Linked DNA regions of Rhinolophus ferrumequinum. The protein of the gene in region 1 interacts with the protein of each later gene in a biochemical or structural test. Links are inferred from orthologs where the notes say so. Each region holds a gene or a part of one and is shown on either strand. Other genes may lie near its edges.

What was found.
Region 2: the proteins of NUB1 (region 1) and UBD form a complex in vitro, tested with the Homo sapiens proteins (6 studies listed by BioGRID, with this or other methods). The link is inferred for Rhinolophus ferrumequinum from reciprocal best matches to the Homo sapiens genes NUB1 and UBD.

Annotation. Positions count from the first base shown.
Region 1 is NC_046309.1:3,627,975-3,638,720, forward strand, and holds the start of NUB1 (NEDD8 ultimate buster 1), read right to left. Parts: upstream 4,856-10,746; 5' UTR 4,841-4,855; coding exon 4,757-4,840; exon of another isoform or gene 4,663-4,756; intron 2,000-4,662; exon of another isoform or gene 1,999-1,999; coding exon of another isoform or gene 1,993-1,998; coding exon 1,882-1,992; intron 1,430-1,881; coding exon 1,262-1,429; intron 1,134-1,261; coding exon 1,075-1,133; intron 20-1,074; coding exon 1-19. UniProt on the Homo sapiens protein: Specific down-regulator of the NEDD8 conjugation system. Recruits NEDD8, UBD, and their conjugates to the proteasome for degradation. Isoform 1 promotes the degradation of NEDD8 more efficiently than isoform 2.
Region 2 is NC_046286.1:537,657-548,752, forward strand, and holds UBD (ubiquitin D), read right to left. Parts: upstream 4,119-11,096; 5' UTR 3,982-4,118; coding exon 3,964-3,981; intron 2,631-3,963; coding exon 2,160-2,630; 3' UTR 2,014-2,159; downstream 1-2,013. UniProt on the Homo sapiens protein: Ubiquitin-like protein modifier which can be covalently attached to target proteins and subsequently leads to their degradation by the 26S proteasome, in a NUB1-dependent manner.

The DNA.
Region 1 (10,746 bases):
TCCAAAGGTTTCAGCTATTCTGTAAAACAAACCAGTGAAAACTGTAGGTAATCAAATTTGTTATTTTCCATTAAGATTTTAGTCATGATAGCTATTTTATACGTTTTACTCAGAAACACGCACTATTTCAATTTACTGACTTACAAACATCACTTCACGATAAAGCCAGCTTACAAGATGGTTACTTGAAACTGCGCAAGAGATATGTTCCTTTTCAAACTGTTATACTACTTGTTTCCTCCTCAAGTGGAGACCACTGGTGTGGCACATCCATTTGAACAGGTGAGCCCTAGATGCATGTCAGGAGAAAGTACATTCTCTATCTTCCACGGTCTCCTGGGAGGAACCCATAGTAGGTGGCTGTTCCACACAATCTCCTGCTCATGCAGGTTGAATGAATGATGCCTCCTGAATCCAACCCTAACAGCCCCGATGTAGACCAAAGAAGAAAGTGAGAAAAATCAGCTTCAGAAACCCGGGCTTGGCTAGCCCTGGAGGTGCTGAAAAGACTTGTCATTCAAAAATATACCAGTGGATGGAATAACCAACCAAGACTCAAAAGTTAGAATTTCACTAGTGTGTGACAGGCAGGTATTTTTTCTTTTTGCAGATCAGCCAACTGCCTGAAATCGGCTAAAACACTTTGCTGATCATCCCAGCAAGCTGTTAGTGCACTGAGGAAGCAAGTTCAAAGCTAATGATGTGGTGAACACCAGGCTGTCTCCTATTTCTATCACTCATTCATTAATTCAAACATGTAGCAAGTACCTGTTAAGTGGTGGACTCTGAGTTCCCACCAAAAATTCTAAATCACTAGTACTGGTTGCAAAATCATAATTTGTGACAATGACTCAAGTTGTGCCAGGACAGGAAGAAATGTGGTGCCAGTTTCGAGTTCTCACTTGCACTTAACTACCAGTGTGAGCCTGAGTAAGTCCTGCAGCCTCAAAGCCTCAATTTTCCCTTCCCTAAAGTGAGGAGAATAACACCTGCCCTCTGTCTTCTTGAGGCTGGCCACAGGATCCAACGAGCCAATGGAACAGGACCCGGGGCACCGGGCACACAGGTACTTACTTAGACCTCAGTTCTTTGCCACTAACGTGCAATCGGGTCTCCAACAGGGTGTTCCTATCCTATTCAAAAATAAGATAAAGAAAGTAACTTCAGACTGTTGCTTTAAAAAAAAAATCTTAATTTAGTCAATCACATCACTAAGTTAACTAAGCATTAGAACCTACGTAAATTTGAGAAAATTACTCACTTTTCTTCGCTGTCGAGGTAGAAATACCTCAATCGTGGCAATTCCTTTTGTCTTAAAATTTTCATTTCTTGTGCCACGCTCGATTGCTTTGCAACGTATTTCTTCTAGTATCTTTTCTACTTCATTTCCATGACATTTTAGCTTGTCCGCGTACTTCTTAGCGAGGTCCTATGAAGAAATATCAGCAAACACTGATCAATGTAGCGCCAACTCAAAAAAAGCTGGGGGTGGCAAAATACAGAACAGTCCATGCAGGACTCTAAGGCAAAAACTGATGACAAGTGGTCGCCCCTATTACAGCGAAATCCAGACTGGTTTGACATCTTAATAGGTATAGAGGTTAGAGAGGATCCAGGGAAAAATAAAAACAAAAAAAGGGTAGGAAAACAGACCCAACAGAAAAAGTGAAAATAACTGGGATTATCCTAGGGGGGAATAGAAAGGTGGGCTATCGCTTATGTGACTGTAATATATAAAAAATTACTTTAAGGAATAGCAAACTGAACAACTCCACTGGAGGGGAAAAAAAACAGAAAACATTTCTACAAGTTTGGACATTCTTATGTCGACACCAAGGAGACACAACACTGCTAATTATTTATATCTTAAAAGAAAAATACCGTCAATGCCAAACTAGCTTCTTTATTTTCATCTGTATATGGAGGTTTCCAAAGTTGAATTCTGTCTTCCCTTAAAAACTGGGTCAGTTTTGCTTGGAGATATTTCTTTTGCTCCATTCTTGAAAGCAAAACAACACAACATGATAACCCACACCACATTTTCAAAGTGTCTTACAACTACCTAATACGTTGATGTGTTTTATAGAGTAAGCAGAGGTCCCCTACACTCTTCCCACTCCAGTTTAATCTCAATTACTTTTAGATTAGGTTTTAACTAGCTCTAGATGTCTCTAAAATATATACCGGGGGAGGCCAAAAAAATGTATACAAGTGGACACTTTGGTCAACGTTGCTCAAGTAGTAGTTCGCCATAATCAGAAGTGTCTGGACACTGATGGTAACCACTTTGAGCACCTCTTATAATTGCAGAACTCAAATGTGACTTGTATTCATTTTTCGTTATCGGTATATATTGAGTATTAGAAGTTTAACAGTGTTTTCCTTTCTTAAAATGTGTATACATTTTTTTCGGCACCCTCTGTGTATAACATACATACTGAAATATATATTATATATTCAATTATATATTGTATGTACATTAAAATATGTATTTCAAAGTTGCTAATATGTAGCAAGGTTATCACACTTTTCTATTTCTTAATCTGTTATTCTATGATCTAAGAGAAAAGATAAGAGAAAGATGAATTCCTAAAGTAGTGAACTTTCATAAGACACAACACAGAGCTTATAAAGTCTCTCATCTTTTGGCTAGTTTAACATGAAACAAAAGACTAACTATCCTGGTAGGAAAACATAAAGATAAGTTAGTTGAGCCGTGAACTATCAATACCAGATATTCCCTATATCTGAATGTTTTTAATTAATTAGTATTGACAATACTAGAAAAGTATTGCGTGATATTTACGACAACAGCACAACAGCAGATCTACATATATAACAGATTGGTTGGCTCATCATTTTACAGCTGATAAAACGCAGGCCCCAGGTTTGTAAAATGACTCCGACAAGGTCACAAAATTAGGCAGCACCCCACTAGCACTGGGACGGCTGCCTACAACATCCGACTCTGCATTCCGTCACAAAACCCCTTGCTGCTTCTCTGTCCTGTGTGTAACTAACTGCTCTCACCCAAAGAAACACCTGCCGGCATCAGAGCTGGCTACGCAGCCCTCAGTAGCAGAGCAATTCAAAGGGGTGGGCGAGGCTGCCTGGGGTATGAAACAGCTGAAAGGGGTAGTGCAGCCTAATCAGACAAGCGGTAAGAAGAGTAAAAAGTTATTAGATCCTGAAGGATGAAGACAAATTCTAGAGAGTGAAAAATATATGAGTTAAGGTAACCTAGAGAAGTAACTTTCTTTTTTCTCTTCGGGGCCTCTATTCCACACTCCCCCAAACCCAATCAGCTGATTTTTTAATCAAGTTTGAAAACTTAAGTGTATTCCATAAATTAGTATTTTAAAAGACAGTTCTAATCTATTTTATATCAGTTTGAGAGAGAAAGAGGATAAACAGGACAGGAGGAGGAAAGGAAGAAATAAATACGTTCAAGGCGGGGGTTGTGTGCCAACAGGCAACCTACAAAAGAACCTTAGACTTTCAGCACTAGAGAACTGCTTCTCACACAGAAAAACGTATTAGTCCTGATGGTATTAGCTTCTCAAACACACATCACTTACACGACCACCACTCAAAGTTAATTCCCTACTCATAAATCTTCAGAAATTCTGCATAAAATATCATGGGGGGCGGGGGACATTTCACCGGCTGCTTACTGGAGCAAAGCTTTGGAAGGCTGAATGCACAGCCCTCTGCCATCCCCTCCAAGAAACTACCAACAGAAGGCCCAAAAGGTTTCATACACCCAGTGTGTCCCTCACTCCACCCACCGGGCAAATATTAATAACTAGCAAGGAGGCTCTACCGGCTGCACCACTTAATGTTTAACCAAAGATGAAACCACTGTTGTGAAACTTAACAAAACTCCAGTTAGAGATAACACAATAATTGAACATACAGATTTTTAAATCAAATCAAAAGGAAAAAAAGGTTTAAAAGATCAGTTTTCGGTTTTAACTGGAGAAATGAAAGTTTTGTGCGTGCCATACAATGTTCCACGTACAGCCCCCAAAAAGGAGAAATCCACTAACCACCGCTCCAAACTCAAAGTGAAACGTTATAAACCATAAACCGCGCCTTGAAAATTTTCACTTTCACTTTTGAAATAAATTGATCTACGCAACCTTTACCCAGAGCCCCTCAAACACATATATTCAAAATACATTAAATTTTTTCTCAGGCGGAGTAAAAGATTCTTGTAGTAACAAACAAGAGTAAGGGAAGGTGAGAAATACAGAATCAGATCGTCGAGGTTGGAGAAAATCAAACGTGTTCTCTCATTAAACAGCAAAGAAAATCAGGCTTTGATTGCAAATAAATCCCAAAGGGAACATGTGGAATAACTGCGTTATGATTCAAGCTTTTGTGTGGCTAATTAATTTTAATGTATACATATATTTGTCTCCCCCTCGAAAACAGCATTTTTTTTTAATACCTCACCACCCCCCGCCCAGCCCAGCGCAAACCTAGAGCCCCGCGAACCGCCGGCGCGTCCCGAAGCCCCAACCTGCAACCCCCGGTCGCGGTCCCGGTCGCGGTCCCGGTCGCGGTCCCGGTCGCGGTCCCGGTCCCGGTCCCGGTCCCGGTCCCGGTCCCGGCCGGGCCTCCGCGCAGGGCGCCCACCGCCCGCCGCTGCGGCAGCACCTGATTCGGGAGGGGGAGGCGTCGCGATCGCGGCAGGGACGGAGGTCGCCAAGCCGCGCCGCTGAGACCCCGAGTCCAGGACTGGACGCTTGGCCGCTGTCGCCTCACCTCGCCACCACAGTGCTCGCTGCGACCCGCCGAGTGCCCGGATGCGGCAGCGGCCGCCGTTTGTTTTCATTCCGGGTGAGGCTGGCCCCGCCCCGCCGCCGCCCCCGCGCGACCGGGAAGAAGGCTTATGAACGGGGCTAATACGGGGGCGGTCCTTGGGCGGGGGTCCTGGGCAGGCTGTGGGCGGGGCTAACCGAGCGGGGGAGGGTTGTGGGCGGGGCCAGGGCGGGCGGGGCCAGGGCGAGGACCTGGCTGGATTGAGGGAGGTGGAGACCGCGGGAGCCGGGGCTGTGTCGCCGCGGAACCGCTGGCCAGGCCCAGTTTGCCCACCTTCAGAGGAAATTGAGCCTGGCTTCGTTTCTCCAAAAGCCTTGAAAGAGGCCAGAGCACGTTGCAGGAAGACCCAGAGGTTGGGTCTGGACCTCCTGCAGCAGGGTCCCTACCCCTCACCCGCCCCTCCGTCTAAGCCGGACCAAATGCGTTGTCCCCCCTAAACCTCTGGGTTTTATCCCCCTCCATCACCCACCACCGCCGCCTCTCAGGGGGAAGTTTGGTGACTTCACCCGAACTTCCCTGCTCCTGGCCCTGAGCTTCGCTGCCCGATGCCGGCCCTGCAAACCTCGTATCCATCACACTCTCCACGACGAGATCGATGGAGATCCGAAGCGGTACTTCGGAAGCACTCTGCCCCGTGCTGTGGTAAATACAAATAAACCTGTGGTTCGGGCTGTGTCCGTGTGTCCAGTGGAGGAAAATAGACAGTATGCAGAACAACTAAGTGCAATTTGAGAAATGCACTGAGAACAGGGCCAGAGCCCAGGTGGTTGAGCACAGGTCCTGGCAGAACTCTCTTTGCGAGATGATGGTTAGATCGGCCTCGGGAAGGTGGACTGAGAATGGAAGCTAGAAAGAGTCCGTCTCAGACCCCAGAAAGTTTGCTGGGATGAGGCTGTTAGCCCATCCTTGGACCTGCTCTAGCACTGTCATGGGGTGCGACCTGAGGGCATAGGTCGGTGCACGCAGGCAGAGTGTTATCTCAACGGGGCGCTGTGGATAAAGTCTCGGGTCAGGGTCTGTCCCTCTCACTACACCGGGACAACCCCCAGAACACGATTAGCCCCAGCAGTACATTTCCAAATATGGACATATTGAGTCTAGAATAACACCAGGGGGCCCTAAGGCAGATAGTCTGACCCAGGCTTTGCATACCCCCTCACACCCTCCACCAGGAGAGGGGAGGCAGGACTCCTCCTCCTAGTGCCCTTCCATTCTCTGATGGAAAGCCTTAGGCGGAATGTACACCTAAATCCATATTAAGGAAGAGAAATGTGTTACCAAACATGCCGTGTCTGCCAGTGTTCCCTGCCCATCTCGGAAAGGACTCTGCACACACTGCACAGGAATTTCAGTTCCCTTTTCCTCATCTGGGACTTGCAGGCATTGCCCACTGGCCTAGTAGTGCCTACAAAGCTGGTAGATTTCTGTCTTTCCAAATAAGAGTCTGTCTCAATAGGCTCCTTTGGGTACATAAACACATAATCTTTGAAATGAAAATGCTTTATCTTGGGCCAAATCAACTTCTTAGTCAAGGCAAAAGACAAATAAATGGCCCAATGGGGGAAATTATTGTCAATTCACATCAAAGACAAATATCTTTAATATATAAAGAGCTCTTACAATTTGATAAGAGACCAAAATAGAAAACTGGACAAAGGGTATGAAAATATGATTCCCTGAAAAGGAAATATGGTTCACAAATATATGAAAAATTACTTAACCTCACTCATAATGAGATAAATATAAATTAAAACTACACCAGATACCACTTTTTACCTATCAGACTGGAAAAAAATTGATAACATGCTATGATGGCAAGGTTGTGTGGAAATAGCGACTCATAAATTCCTGGTGAAACGACAAATTGGTACAACACCTCGGAGGGATATCTGGCAGGGTCTATCAAAATCAAAATGCATATTCTCTTTGACCCAATAATTCAACTTTTGTTATTCTTGCTGTATTTTATTAATTTGCCTTCTTTCTGTTGTTCCTACGACTGACATTTAGTGGCTTCAACCTCAGTTATTTGAGGTGAAGAATTCTTCCCAATTTGTGTTTGTGTGTTTGTTGCTATAGGTTTTGTGGAATCAAGGAACTCCTGAGTAAAATCAGAAAATCCTTAAACAACCTTTGCATGACGGTGAAGCTTAATGCTGAATGTTATCAATTCTTAGTAGAAAAGTGAAAAGTAACAGGAAGCTCTGGCTTTTCAGCTTTATTTATGGTTGCTTTGATCAGAACAGTGGACCTGCCATGGGTGGCATTGTGTGGTAAACTCATTTTTTAGAAATGAGGGGTGTGGATTTAAAAAGAAAAGAAATTCATTCTTGATGTCTCTATTTATACATGGGAATTTCTGGGGAGTGGTTATAAACTGGAATTTTGGGGGAATTTGAATGATGACTAACACTTTCAGTCTGACACGCTTTCAGTTTCACCGATAACCGTATTTGGAGACTCAGTCATTTTATTTGGCATCTTGGCTGCACTAGAAGAACATGGCAGGAACAGAGGAAACAAGCAGGTAGAGAGGGAAATTTGTTTACACCTGATGGGAAATATATAATTTCAATCACCCTTGAATATGATATTAGCTGAAGGAAGTTATGAAAAGGTCAGATGAGAGAGTTACTCTGATTCCCAGGAAATGTGAGCGGGGAGATTACATCTCTGGTACTATCAGAAAGGGCTTGGTCTGCTCACCTATGACTCTGGCAGAATCTTTCTGGAAACAGGTAGTCCTCAAATTCTGTTTCCTAGTTTTGAATCTCTGACATATTCTGGTCCCAAAGATTTAACTCAAGTACCTACATTCATCTGTCTCTCAGTAGATGGGTAGGTGATATGCTGACTCTGAAAAGATAAAGACATAAGGACAGAGATGATGAAGTAAATCAAACCATGGTATCAATACTATTGAATTAAGTTCAGGATAATCTGTGTCTTATTGTTTAACCCATTTTCAATGTTAAAAAAAATTTTATATACAATATTCATTTTGTAATTTTAAGTTTAAGGGTGAATGAAAAGTAAGGTGAACACGGAGGCAAGAAAGTCACTAATCATTGCTGTAGGCTTGTGGTTTTAGAACCTTCTGATAGAAGGTACTAGAATAATTTACTTTTGTTAAACTTAACTCCAGAAAATTATAAATCATGTATTGTGCCTGACAATTAAAAGATAAAATCAGATATGTCCACTATCCCAGTTTTCTAAATAAAACTTATTGCCTAAAACCTAAAAAGAGTGCAGCATACACTGTTCGTATGGTGTGAAGTGTTTCTTCCCAGACTGAAGGAACAAACTCACAGTGGAGGTGGGCCACAGACTGATGGCATAAATACTCAGGGAAGACGATATTAATGCTATGGGAACCCCACATAACCACGGAAGGACAGTAAGAATTGATCATATTGTCAGCTGATAGATCATTGAAAATAGTTACAAAAGATGGACCACTGTGAGATTTCTGGCATATAACTCAAGAGTTCAAACAATTTTGTGACCTTGCTTTAAAAAAACCCCTTCCGTTCCCTTCTACTAATCTATATGAAAAAGTTTCTTAGTACCAGTGTCTATAACAAAAAAAGAAGGAAACAGAATTGATGTTAATTATGTGTCTTATTCCAGCAGAGAGATAAATAAACTGATTGGAAAATAAAAACAATGCCATTTACCTCATTAAGAGATGGATTTCCAATAAAATTTTACTTTTTTTAGTTTAACAATTATTTATCAAAACTGGCAACATATTTATATTGCTTTAATCAAATATACATTACTAATAATGGCGATGATAACCCTAACCAGAAGAAACTCTTCAGTACTTAGAGACTTTTGTTCATAGGATATAAAATTTCCTTAAATTTCAATTTGTATTTTTGTTGAGAAGTATGATAAGAATAATCCATAAAAGACTTCCAAACATAACATATATTAGGATAAAATTAGGTGAGGGAAGTGGATGGTAAGACAAGTTTATGAAGAGAAAGGAATGGTTAAAGAAGAACTTATTTATGTATTTTTAAATGGTGTGTATCAAATTGGTATGGTATTTAGGTATCACTGAATACAAAGAGTCACATAACAGTTTTGTTTTTTAAATATATCAATATTTGCAATAACCTGGAGTTACATCCTTTGCAGCCATTTAAACGTGTGAGGAAAAATTTTAGGTGAAAAATAGGATATTGTGAGGGGTACAGGGTTGTTCAAAACTTGGAAGACAACACCTCCCCAACCTTCAAAATCATACTGAGTTTGGGGTTCCCTCTGGTGGTGAGAGTCAGAATTTGTGTGGGTCAGAGCTCAAGAGAAGTATCTGGCAAGAACGCAGTGCCATGTTCTGCAAGCCACACCCTTCCGGGCGTATATCCTGGGACCTTCACTATAAAACTTGAGACGAGTAGGGTTCATTATACCTGTTCATCCTGGACTATCGTGTTCTATCTCCACCTTGGCTCCTCTTCTCCCAAAGCAGGCAAAGATTTCATTCCTCCATCCAAGCCCAGAATCAACCAGGAGGGCAAAGAGCGGGACAGAATAGTACCCTACACATCTCACCAAGCAGGATCCTTGATCATACCCTGTTTCCCCAAAAATAAGACCCAGCTGGACAATCAGCTCTAATGAGTCTTTTGGAGCAAAAATTAGTAAAAGACCTTATATTATATTATATTATATTATATTATATTATATTATATTATATTACATTATATTATGTTACATTATATAATATCTGGTCTTATAGTAAAATAAGACCAGATCTTATATTAATTTTTGCTCCAAAAGACGCATTAGAGCTTATTGTCCAGCTAGGTCTTATTTTCGGGGAAACATGGTAGTTGCCTTTCTCTTGCTGCTTTTAGGATTCTCTCTTTGTCTTTAACCTTTGCCATTTTAATTATAATGTGTCTTGGTGTGGGCCTGTTTGGGTTCATCTTGTTTGGGACTCTATGCTTCCTGGACTTGTATGTTTATTTCCTTCACCAGGTTACGAAAGTTTTCAGTCATTATTTCTTCAAAAGGTTCTCAATCCCTTGCTTTCTCTCTTCTCCTTCTGGTACCCTTATAATGTGAATGTTGTTACCGTGATGTTGTCCCAGAGGTCTCTGAAACTATCCTCATTTTCTTGGATTTTTTTTCTTTTTGCTGCTTTGATTGGGTGTTTTCTGCTACCTTGTCTTCCAAATCACTGATTCAATCCTCTGCTCCACCTAGTCCGCTGGTGATTCTGTCTAGTGCATTCCTCATTTCACTTATTGTATTCTTCACTTCTGACTGGTTCTTTTTTTATGGTTTGTATGTCCTTTTTTTTATGCTCGCTATCTCTTTGTAGAAGTTCTCACTAAGTTCCTTGAACATCCTTATAACCAGTCTTTTCAACTCTGTATCTGATAGGTTTCTTGCCTCCATATCGTTTGGTTCTTTTCCTGGAGGTTTCTCCTGTTCTTTCATTTGGGATGCATTTCTTTGTTTCCTCATTTTGGCTGCCTCTCTGTTTGCTTCTATGTATCAGGTACATCTGCTATGTCTCCCAGTCTTGGCCGGGTGGCGTTATGTAGTAGGTGCTCTGTGGGGCCCAGTGGCACAGTCTCCCTGGTCACCTGCTCTGGGTACTCTAGGAGTGTCCCTTGTGTAAGTTGTGTGTGTCCTCCTATTATATTTGACGCTTTATTGTTACTGGCATGTCAGTGGGTGGGATTGACCGCTTCTGTGGGGGTGGGGCTTACCCCACTGAGTGGAATTTACTTCAGCAGGCTCTGGTGACTGTTGAGATCACCCTATGTGTGTGCCACTTGTGGGGCTAATTGGGAGGTGCTCTGCTGTGGTCTGAAGCCAACCTCCAAGTGTGTTGGTTCTAGGACCTCTTGGGAGGGGCTCCGGTGTAGGCCCAGGTCACCCCTTGCTTGTGAC
Region 2 (11,096 bases), on another chromosome or scaffold:
GGACTTCCATCCCCTCCCCCACACACTCCACATGCCCGGGTTTTCCTTTGCTTGTAAGGGGTAATGTCACCCTTTTGTATTTCGTCCTTCCAAGCACTGGGAGTCTTCCTCACACAGCACAGAGGAGCGCTTCCTCCTGCTGGGCTTCTCTGACTGGCCCTCCCTGCAGCCGGTCCTCTTTGTCCTTCTCCTCTGCCATCTGCCGACTCTGACCGACAGCTCGGCCCTGCGCCACCTGCGCCCGCACACGCCGCTGCACCACTTCCGCGGCCCCCTGGCCCTGGCGGAGGCGGCTTCGCCTTGAGCGTGGCGCGCCGCTGCTGGCCGCCCTGCGCGGCCCCGGCCCTGCGGCTGCGAGGCCCCGCGGAGCGCGTCGCTGGCGCCGGGCTCGGCGCGGTGCGGCCTGCGGGTGCCGGCGCTGGGTGGCGCCACGGCCGTGTGCCGCCCGCAGCGCGACCCGGACGCGGCTCGACGCAGCTCTGGGGGGCGCTGGCCGGCGCCGCCGCTTCTGGCGCTTCTGGCGCTGGCGCTCGGCTCGCCCGCCAGGCGGATCGCTTCGTCAGCGAGCTGCCCGCGCAGCTCCAGCTGGCCTGTGGCGGCGGCGGCTGCCGAGACGCCAGCGAGCGCTAGATGATCGCCGCCGCGTGCTCCTCCGCTGGTGCCGTCCGCGGCCATCCTGGACTCCAGTGGCGCCGTGGCCCGCGCCGTGTGGGGCATGCGGTCCAGCGGGGACCGGAGGAAAGCGGTGGACACGCGTGGGTCCCCACCTGACAGCCGGCTGCCTGTTCTTGTGTCTCCACGGTGTCTGCCACCAGGAGTCTCCCAAATTGACAAGACTCTACCTCACAGGAGACCCCATCCAGGAAAAGGAGCCACGGTCTCTGATATCGGGAAATCGTCCCAACCTAATGCCCACCTAGTCAGAGGACTTGGGCCCACCGCAGAGCACTTGACCCGTAAGTTGAAGGAGGAACGCCCATCCGCGTGCTTTGTGCTGGGTGGGGTTCAGTTGGGAAACTCTTCTTCAAGGAGGTGGTTCTTGGCAAGTTTTAAAGATACGAAGGGACTAGACTAGTGGAGAAGAAGGTGGACATGTCTCAGCTTGTGAGAAAAACGTGTCTGTGACCAGTAAGGGGACATGAGAGAGGGACAGTAAGACACAGAAGTAATTGAAGGGAGTGAGATGGAGAAAGCGACTCGAGTTCCCAAGAAAGAACCTGGTGCTAAAGGAAGCAGAAAGGAAAAAGCTCTGTCAGCCAGAACCTGGGCAGAGTGTTGGGGTCAATCCAGACACCAAGCCCCACCTCCCTCACCCAAACAGATGCCCCCAACTTACAGAAGACCTGCCAGGCCCTAAGGCAGGCAGCACAGACACTGGTCCACAATCCCCCACCTTTCAGAAAGTCCTTTCTCTTCTGAAGCAATCTGCCCCCCAAAATCCCCCACTACAGACACAAATCTCTAGATTCCCAGGGAAAATATATTTCCATGCCTACCATAATCCCCAGAAATGAGAACAATTTTCACTGGGTATGGGACAAGTAAGAGGGGGCACGGTGCCAGGTTTCATTTCATACCAACCAGCTTTAAATAAGGCGAGGGAAAGTAGTTTAATTGAATTTCTAAATTCTTTATTGACTAGATTGTAATCATGTAATTAATTCACTTCGTAGTAAACCGTTTCATTGTTCTCTATAAGGAGAAATTCAATTTGGTTCAACAATTACCATGTGATACGATAGATGAAGCACTGGTTTAAACATAGATGGAAACACAGAAATTAGTACAACGTGGATCCCAGCCTAAAACTTCCTATGTTGTCGGATGAGAAAGGAAATAGGAGTTTTTCTATATGTCAGAGGAAACCAAGGAAGGACTGAATTGCAAGCTGGCTTTGAATGCTATCTCTAATGTGCCTTAAATTTTTATTTTCTGTTTTCAGTAATATACACAATCCTGCCACTTAATCAATTATGTTAGAATCAAAGAATCATAGAGTTAAAAAGTATTCTGCAGTCTGACTCCCCACTCTAAATCTACTCTTTCTATATACCTCTTTCTCAATAATTTTGAGAAATCATCAAAGGTTGTGGTTGGTGAGTAAGAGCGAAAAGGAAATAAGCTCCTTTGCTCCAGAGATCACCCCATCCGCAGGGTGGTCACCCTCCAATGCAGTAGGGTGTCAAGAAGAGTAAATGGCCCGTTCTGATGTTATAATCTGCCATGATCTTCCCATCTTCCAGTCTCTTTCCATTGCAAGTCACAATCTGTTTCTCAGGGGTTATAGCAGTTTTGGTCTCAATCATCTTTTTCACCTCGGGCACTGAACTGGACCTTCGCACCTGGAGGAGGTGCCTCTGCCCCTCATCACCTGACTCCACCAGAAACAGGGGCAGCTCCTCATCACTGGGCCTCACCACCTTCAGGGTGAGGTGGATGGTGGTCTCCTTGTCAATGCCATAAGATGATAGCTTTCTCTGGGGCTTTAGGGTCTTCGAGCCCAGCTGGAGGACCTGGTCCTGCACAGGAACCTTGGTCTCAGACCGCACATGTTCCTGGATCTTCTTCACTCTGTCATGCAAGTTGGCAGTGAAGGTCATTGGTCCCCATTCCTGAGAATGGACATTCACCTGGACAATGAGGGCCAAGAGACAGTTACCAGGAATGCCTGCCCCGTTGTGTACCCCTTGTTCCCCCTCCTTAGTTTCTCCTGCACTTCACTGCCTGTCTGGTCCTCTGGCTGATTTTTAACAAGCTGTGTCCCTCCCTCTCTTGGAGCTTCTCTTTTTGAATTTCCAGGTTATAACACAGACAAGAAAGGCAGTCTTATTCCTTATAACCATACCTCTCATTCATCCCCAAAACATCATTAATAATTTCCCACCATATTTGCCTGCCTCCTACCTGGATAAACTTTGTCAAATGTCAAAAATTAAATACAACTACAGAGTACTCAAAGGTGTACGCCAGATTCTAAAAATAAATCCCAAAGATAATTTCCAAGATTTGGCACCTAAGGGGAAACTCGCGGGACTGCCCTCCATGTCCACGTCAGAAACAAACATGTTCTCTGTACTGTTTGTTTCTGTTTTAATGTCTCACTGCTTTATAATAATAACTTATTAGGTTGGTGCAAAAGTAATTGCCGTTTAAATTAAAAAAAAAAATTGCAAAAACCACAATTACTTTTGCACCAACCTAATACATAGTACAGTGACACTGTGTTCAATGTTACTTGTTCTTCTGTATTTCCCCTGTTTTTATATCTATCTATTGTAGAATACGATTTAGTCCTTTAATTAAAACAGGGCCTCACTCACAGAAGGTAAGGACTATATCTAAATTTTACTTCAGTAATCTGAAAAATGGAGAAGCTAACCCCTATGTTGTCACTTGAAAGCCTGGCAGGACCTCCCTCATGCTCCATTCAAACATATCTTCCCAATTTACATGTCACAGACATTTCTTCACTGGACTGTCACTCCTGCGCTAAGCATTGCCTTCATTCCAGGTTCTCTACATAGTGTTTATATTCTTATATAAGGTAATGTGTCAGGTCATTAACAACTCAGGATAAATGAGTTGTGTGAACGCCCCTTTTGGGAGGAGAAGGAAGTTCAAGTTTAAGTCATGAGCCCCTAAACAGGATGAGGAAAAAGGCTTAAGACAATATTTCCAGTTTCGAGTCTTGCCAGGCCTGTTGAGCACAAAGCGTACTCCCACTTCCTACCATTGATCCCTCACAACAGCCGGTCCAAGATCTGACCCAAAAGAGAACTCAGGAGCCAAATGACCAGCTTCTCTTCACAGAATGTTCCCTCACATTCTGTAGATATCAATGCCTATCTCATCCCCTCAAGAAGCCACCATGTCTCCCTGGGCACTCCCTCATCCATTCCTGAGACCCCCATCCCTTCGAGGTACTTTCTCTTTCCCTACCCCCATTGTCAAATCCCAACTTACACAGAGGGTCGAAGGCATCTCTGCACTGAAGGGAGCAGCAGGAACCAGAGACCAAGAAAACAGAGGATGAGGAGAACTGCGCCCGCTTATATACAAGGAGGCTGAGCTGGAAATCCCCTGCCTGTGTCTAGCTTCCTGTGCTCTTTGTTCTTGCATGGACTCATGGATTTTCTTTCACTTTCGCTGGAGTGAGTCAAAAAAACAAAACAAACTTTCTGATCAAGCGCTTCTCCTGTCAGCCAATCCATTTGCCCTCCTTCTTCCAAATATGGGATGGTCCTTCTCTGTTGAGAATTTTTCCCCGGTCAACAACCCACCACTTCCTGTCCTGGCTATGACTGACCAGCCTGCAGCCTTGGGCCTCAATGGCTTAAAGACCTTTGATGCTTGGTGGTCTTCTCCTACTGCTTTTAAGAGCCCTCATCAGTCAGGTTTTTTCCTGAGAGCAGGGCCGCCCAGGAGAGGACAGTCAGGGTTGATGTGGAGTGAGCAGCCTGTTCACACTATCCTGGCAGGATGTGTGAAGCATGACTTGAGAAAACATAGGATAAATAACCCTGGATCAGTCCCACTGACGGGAGCCACTTACTATATTACCTTGGGCAAGTCTGTCCACCATTTTAGATATTGGTTTTCTGGTTTATCAAATGAGATGAGTGGAAAGAATTCCTAAGTGTCTTCCAGCCTCACAAACCTTTGTTTATAAAACCTCCTTTACAAAGACCTTTCGATTCCCGGGTCTTGAGCTCTCTATCACTGTTCCTATCCTGTCCTGGGAACTGCAAACTGAATCCACCATGACTTGAGAACATTCCAAAGCCAACAATCAAAGGCTGACTCCCACTGTCCACACGCTAAAACAATCACACACTCACCCTCACACCACAGTGCCTCTGTTTGCCCAGCTTCACTCCCGGATACTCCTCACTACCGTGATCTCAGACATACCTACAGGTGCTGCTCACTCCCCAGCTCCTGAGATCTGGACGGGGACAAAGCAGTGCATGAGCTGTGCTTCTTCAGGGAATTCACTCAGTCACTCTTGATCCTCCTACTATTCCAGACTAATCACTTCCCTATCCCCAACTCTCAGGACATTGCCAAAAAACCCATTTAAAAAAGCACTTATTAAAAGTTCTCCAGATTTTTCAAAGTAAAAAGCCCGTAAAAATGCCAAGTTATCACCTTTGTTTGCTGCGTTTTCACTGAGGCCTTCACTCACGGATGGATCACAGATGATCCCGTATTATTCCAGGGGTTCCCATCTGGCAGAACTTGGATTCACAGAAGTGTCTACGTAAAGTAATGGGATCCAAGAGCATATTCCAATATTTCAAAAAGCCTATCCTGAACTATGTTCTTCTATGTGAAACTCTTATTAGATAATCAGTTAATCAAATTGGAAAAGCTGATTATTATTTGAACGCATTTTGTGGGGTTAGGCATGCTTCTTTAAACACACAGGATGAGTATGAAGGGGGAAGTGTGCTGTTGGAATAGGCAGGAAACCTTTGTTCCTTCTATTCTCCTTTCAGATACCTCTCCAGGTTCCTACTGTCCCGTGTTTAGAAACCAAGATTGGGACCTTTGGCTGCAGCACAGCAGAAAAGGACGGGTCTGCACCCACTGTCCAATAGGATTTGGGTATTCTGAAACATCACCAGTAACTAGGCAGAAAATGTCATATCAGGTTGAGGGTGATAAACCGGAAGCCCTGCAGCAGGAAAGGGATGGGGGATGGGCCTGGGAAAAGAGAAAGTAAAAGCTGTATGTGCCCTGACTTAAGTAAACTGCTTTCACATTTCAAATTTTATCTGCGCCCCTTACGCTCTCAGATCTTCACGTCATTTCTGGGAAAGAAGAAAGAGAGTAGATGGTTAAAGCTGTTTAGAATTAAATCACTCTCTTCTTGTACCTTTTCCTTGTTTTCCATTCTTGCCTCAGTAGCCTACACCATCTTGGGGCCAGTTCATTCTCAGGGGAAGCAGAGACCCTTAGCCAGAAGCTCCAGGAAGGAGAGCCCAGGAATGACATTTCCCAGTAATAGTATATGTCTGTTGATGCCCTCAGATCTATACTTACAGCCCAGATCTGAGCTGCAGAGCTGTACATCTAGGGGCTTCCATGCATGATTCCCTGAACTCCCTGCATACCCTTGAATATGCCAAGCTCTCTGCCACCAGGTCACTGAGCACACCTTTCCCTCCAACTCTGCCCCCAACTCCATGAAATTTATAAGAGTATGCAATGTAAGTAGCAGCTCTTCTGTCTTTTCATACTCTCTCTGGAAGCCTCTCGGAGCACTTTTCTCCAGCAATAGGATTATCTGCTTACTTGTCCTTTACCCCCATTAAAGAGTAGGAATCTTGAGGGTCAGGATTGTGTCTCCATTAACTTGTATCTTCAGCACTACTTGGACAAGCTGTCTGGCACTGTAAATAATAAATATTTACTAAATGAATGCATGAATAAGTAAGTGAATAAAAATGGAAACTGTTTAGTGAGTATTTATTATATTTCAGGAATTGCACAAGACATTATTAAATGGAAACTCATTAACTGTTCTAGCATTCTAATGAGGTAAATGTCAGTATCCTTATTGATTAGAAAGAAGCTAACTCACCCACAGTCGTTTTAGTAGTAGTTGCTAAGCGAACTAGTTGGGGGAAGGAATACAGAGAGCCAAAGGAAAGCAGAGGGTACGAGGGGCCTTAGGATGAATGAGAGCAAAGGGAGTTTCAGGGCCTATATGTACGCAGGTGTATCCCTGGGTGGCACACCCACACTGGACCAGCCTGTATATCCCTATTTGGCAGAGGTGAGCAAAGAGCCTGTGATTGCAGGGCCAGAGCCTGGAGGGAGGTCACAGCCTGCTGCAAACATAGATGAGAACTGCTCCCCCAGGACTGTGAGTGTTCAAAGTGCGAATGCCATGCAACTCCACGTGCAAATAGAGGAACCGCCCACTGGAGCTGGGGATTTCCAGCATAGAGTTACTCCAAGGGCAAGCCTGTGATCCCTCCAGGAAAAAATAATTCAGGGGATTCCCTACCCAGAGAGGACCTGGATTCTGAGAAACAGTGTCCTTTCAAGTAACAAAATAAAAAATCTGGACTCTGATCTTCCCTCTCCTCTCTCTCCTCCTTTCCTATGTGAAATTCCCTCCCAGCCCAAAGCCAGGGTGAGGAATGTCCAAGACATCTGGTGCCCCTTAACTGACCACAGGTAGGATTTCTTCTTGGAACCTGACCTCTTCCTTGCTTCTTACCACATTATCAATCTGTTTTCCCCTCTGGGTCGTGATAGGAAATTGTTTCAGAGGCAGAACTGAAAGATCTCTTTTCATTTGCCTTTTTATCAAATCCAGGAAACCAGCCAAGATCAAATATCACGCTATGGAGATATTGCCAGGTTATTAAACAAATGTCTCAGATAGCTACAAACCTCCCAACTCGGCCCTAGTGATAGGGTGCTATTGGACTAGTCACTGCCCCCAGTTGAGTCCTCCCTGGAGCAGAGGCCCCTTTCGCATCTCTCTAATAATGTCAATGAAAGAGTTTGTAAAATTACTATGAGATCTAGAATATTGCTTCAGCAATGCCAGCCAAACCCAATCAAAAAGTTACTGTGAATTCTCATTTATTGAAGGTTGGAAAGGAAAACAAACATAAAAACAATAAAACCTTGTCCACTCTCAAAGGACAATCTAAAATACCTATCCAGATTCAAAATGGACATGCCAAACTAAAGCAACTCAAATACCCTTTAGTAATGGGGAAACACATAACTGAATTGTAGAGTATCGTTAGCAGTAAAAATGGATGGATTATACCTACACGCAACAATATGGATCAATATACTAGCAACCTATTGAATGAAAAAAAACAAGACCAAGAAGACTACATAAAGTACGACACGCTTTATAAGTCTTCAACACATGCAAAACTACAGAGGGAAAGAGATACGCTACTTTCAAATTCAGAGTATGTTCACTTTTTAAAATAAATGAAACCTAGTCTAAATGCAGATACGAGTTACTTGAAGATTTTCAACAGGGAAAGAGGCATTTAGGAACCCTCTGACATCTCTTGTCATTTTCAGAGTCTAAAGTTTAACTATGAGAAATTAATGTTTGGTGAAAGCAATTTATTGAATGGTACTAATGTACGTTACTTATTATTTAATTTAGAGATGTAACATATTCACTCTATTAAAGGTAATGTTATGGTCTACAACATAAATGTTCTAAACAGAAACAAACACAAGCAAAACTGAACAATATAGTGTTTAGGACCATATACGTATGTATGCAAAAAAGCCGTTATAAAAATGTAAAAAAATGAGTGTTCATTTTGACACAATTATGCTTTAGAGTTTATGTAAGTTATATATATTCATTTGCAATATCAAAGTTTATGACAAAAATATAATTTAAAAAATTTTCATCTACATACCCGATAACCAAACAATTCCACGTTAGGAATTTTTTTTTTAATACAAAAAATTTTTGTGCAACTAATCGTTGAAATCCTTAAGAGGAACTGGATGCTGCAACAGCTGCCCTTTTGGGTTTAGGTGTTGTTCTTTCATGGAATCCGTGCCTGAATCTGCTGTATACAATTTTCAGGTATCTCATTCGACCAGTCCCAGTGGTATTTCATCTTTTAGCCTTGGCATTCCAGTTATACTCTCTCTTCCGCTTGGCAGCGTAGCCACATTTGCCGCGGGTAGACTTCTGAAGGTGGTACGCCTTAGAGCCACAGCAGCGGCATAATGTGTGCATCACATTGCAATGCTTTCCGTAGGATGAACTTCATCATCACACTTCTGTGGCCGAGACCAAAGAGCCACATTAGGAATTTATTCAATTAATATACCCATATATGTATGAAATAAGCTACGTACAAGATAATTCAGGTGGCATTATTTATAACAAAAAATGAAAACAACATTTATCAATAAGGAACTAAATAAATGAAGGTGTAGATAGTGAAATTAACTGAAAAAAAACAAGTTTCAAAGTATAGTATAATATTCTAGTGTTTAGAAAATAAAAAATATATATATACAAACACTGAAATATGCATATGATATCTCTGGGAGGAAATGTTACTCCTGGGGAGGGACACTGAATGTCTGAGTAACAAGAATGGGAAAGAGCCTTACTTTTCATCACATGCCTTGTCTTATTTTTGTTATTTATTTTTTTTAGTTTTTCGTCCTGTTATGTTTTACTTATTTAATAGTTAGTCAGATAGATAGATGGATAGATAGAGAGTGTGGAAAGGTGTATGTATCTGTTTTATGCTGTCATTGGCTCAGGACAGAACTGGCTATAAAATACCCACCAATGAGATCCAGTTTCAGTGATCATCACTAGTTGCCAAGTGTGAATCATTTATGTCAAGGAGATGGGAAGAAGTCTGTCTTATGTACATCCCACTCATGAAATTTTGAACTTTTAAGCTAACCACAAAACCACTTCCTGGACTTCTTCCCTAGCATGGAAATCAGACCATTTGCAAAGAGCCTTTTCACACTTGCATACTGTACTAACCAAACCCTGTTAACCCATCCAGATCCCTTCATTTGCATGGAAGACCTACATGAAAACCACAGTTGCAGTTTTTCGCTTTATAAACCCTGACTTTTTTTGTTCTCTTTAAAGTGCAATTTGGGTTGCTACCTGAATCTTCACCTTTCAGATTGCAGTCCTTTTGCTCACATGCTGTTTTTATTATTATTATTATTATTATCATTATTATTATTATACCTTAAATGTTTTTGGGTGTTGGTGGCAGGTGGGTGGCACAGTCAAATGACAATGAAGAGCTAGTAGTTATAATATGTTAACTATTGTGTCCCTGTGCTTTCCCTACTCCTGAAAACGGACCATCCACTAATATTTTACATACCACAAAACTTGGAAAGATTGATAATCTATACTATAATATTATTGGAAAGCAATGGAATCTAAAATTAGCTAAAATCAGATGCCAAACCTAACCAAAACAAAAATAAATGTAACTCAGGGACAATCACTGAGCCTAGTTCTGGGTCTGATAGCAATGTGTGAAAATTGTCTAAGCCAAAACAATAAATGGAATAACTAATGCACTCATAGCTGTAGGATGGTGTGTGGGCCAGTAGCCCAAGCCCACTTTGCAAAAGTCAGGCCAAGCTCTGCTTCCTACTTCTCATGTAAGTTATTTAACTGCCCTGAAGTTTAGTACTTCTTCTGAAAGTTGGAAATATCTTTAGGATTAGGCTGTACTACCATTAGCAGACACCTAAAAATATGTGGCTTTAAAAAGATAAAAGTATACTTTACTCCACATCAAAATCAAGAGGTAGAAGATTCAGGTATAGTATGTAGTTCTGCTCCATAAAAACTCAGGGCCAGGCTCCTTTGAACTCTGCTAGACTTAGGATCCGACCCACATTTTTGTGGTCCAGAATGGTAGCTAGTGCTCCACCCATTACACAATTCCAGGAATCAGGATGGCAGAAGTGATGAAAGAAGATGGTCAAAAAGAGGGCTTCAACTCCATTTTAACAAAGGCTCCAGGAAACAGCCAGACAAAATTTCTCTTACATCTCACTTCCTAGCATCTCACGGATACATCAAGCTGCAAAGGAGGTAGTGAAATACAGTCTTCACTCTGAGTAGGCATAACCTAACTGAACTAGTATGGATGAGGGGCAAACTACTAGTAGAGAACAATGAGTGGTTTATCATACAATAGGAAAAACAGTGTCTACATCACATGCCTGTTGTAATGATTAAATGAGATTTCTTATGTGGTTAGGCAATTCTAGTCTACAGAATTAAGTCCAGAAAGTGGATGTAAAAATCAGGCAGCTTTTAACACAGAATAACCTCAAAAAATGTAACGTGTGAAAAAACGGAATGGGAAAAAAAATGGCCTGAGATGATTCGAAGATTGGGAGTTATAAAGGAATTTTTGTGCATCAAATGAAGATTAAACAATGTCCCAAGTGCTCTTCCAACCTTAGGATTCTACAATTCACTGTTCTACACTGTTGTCTGAAATAGAGGGAAAAAAATAAAAGAACCTGAGAATTTACAACAAAGAGAATAGCCTACATTAGACTAACTTTCCTACAAATAA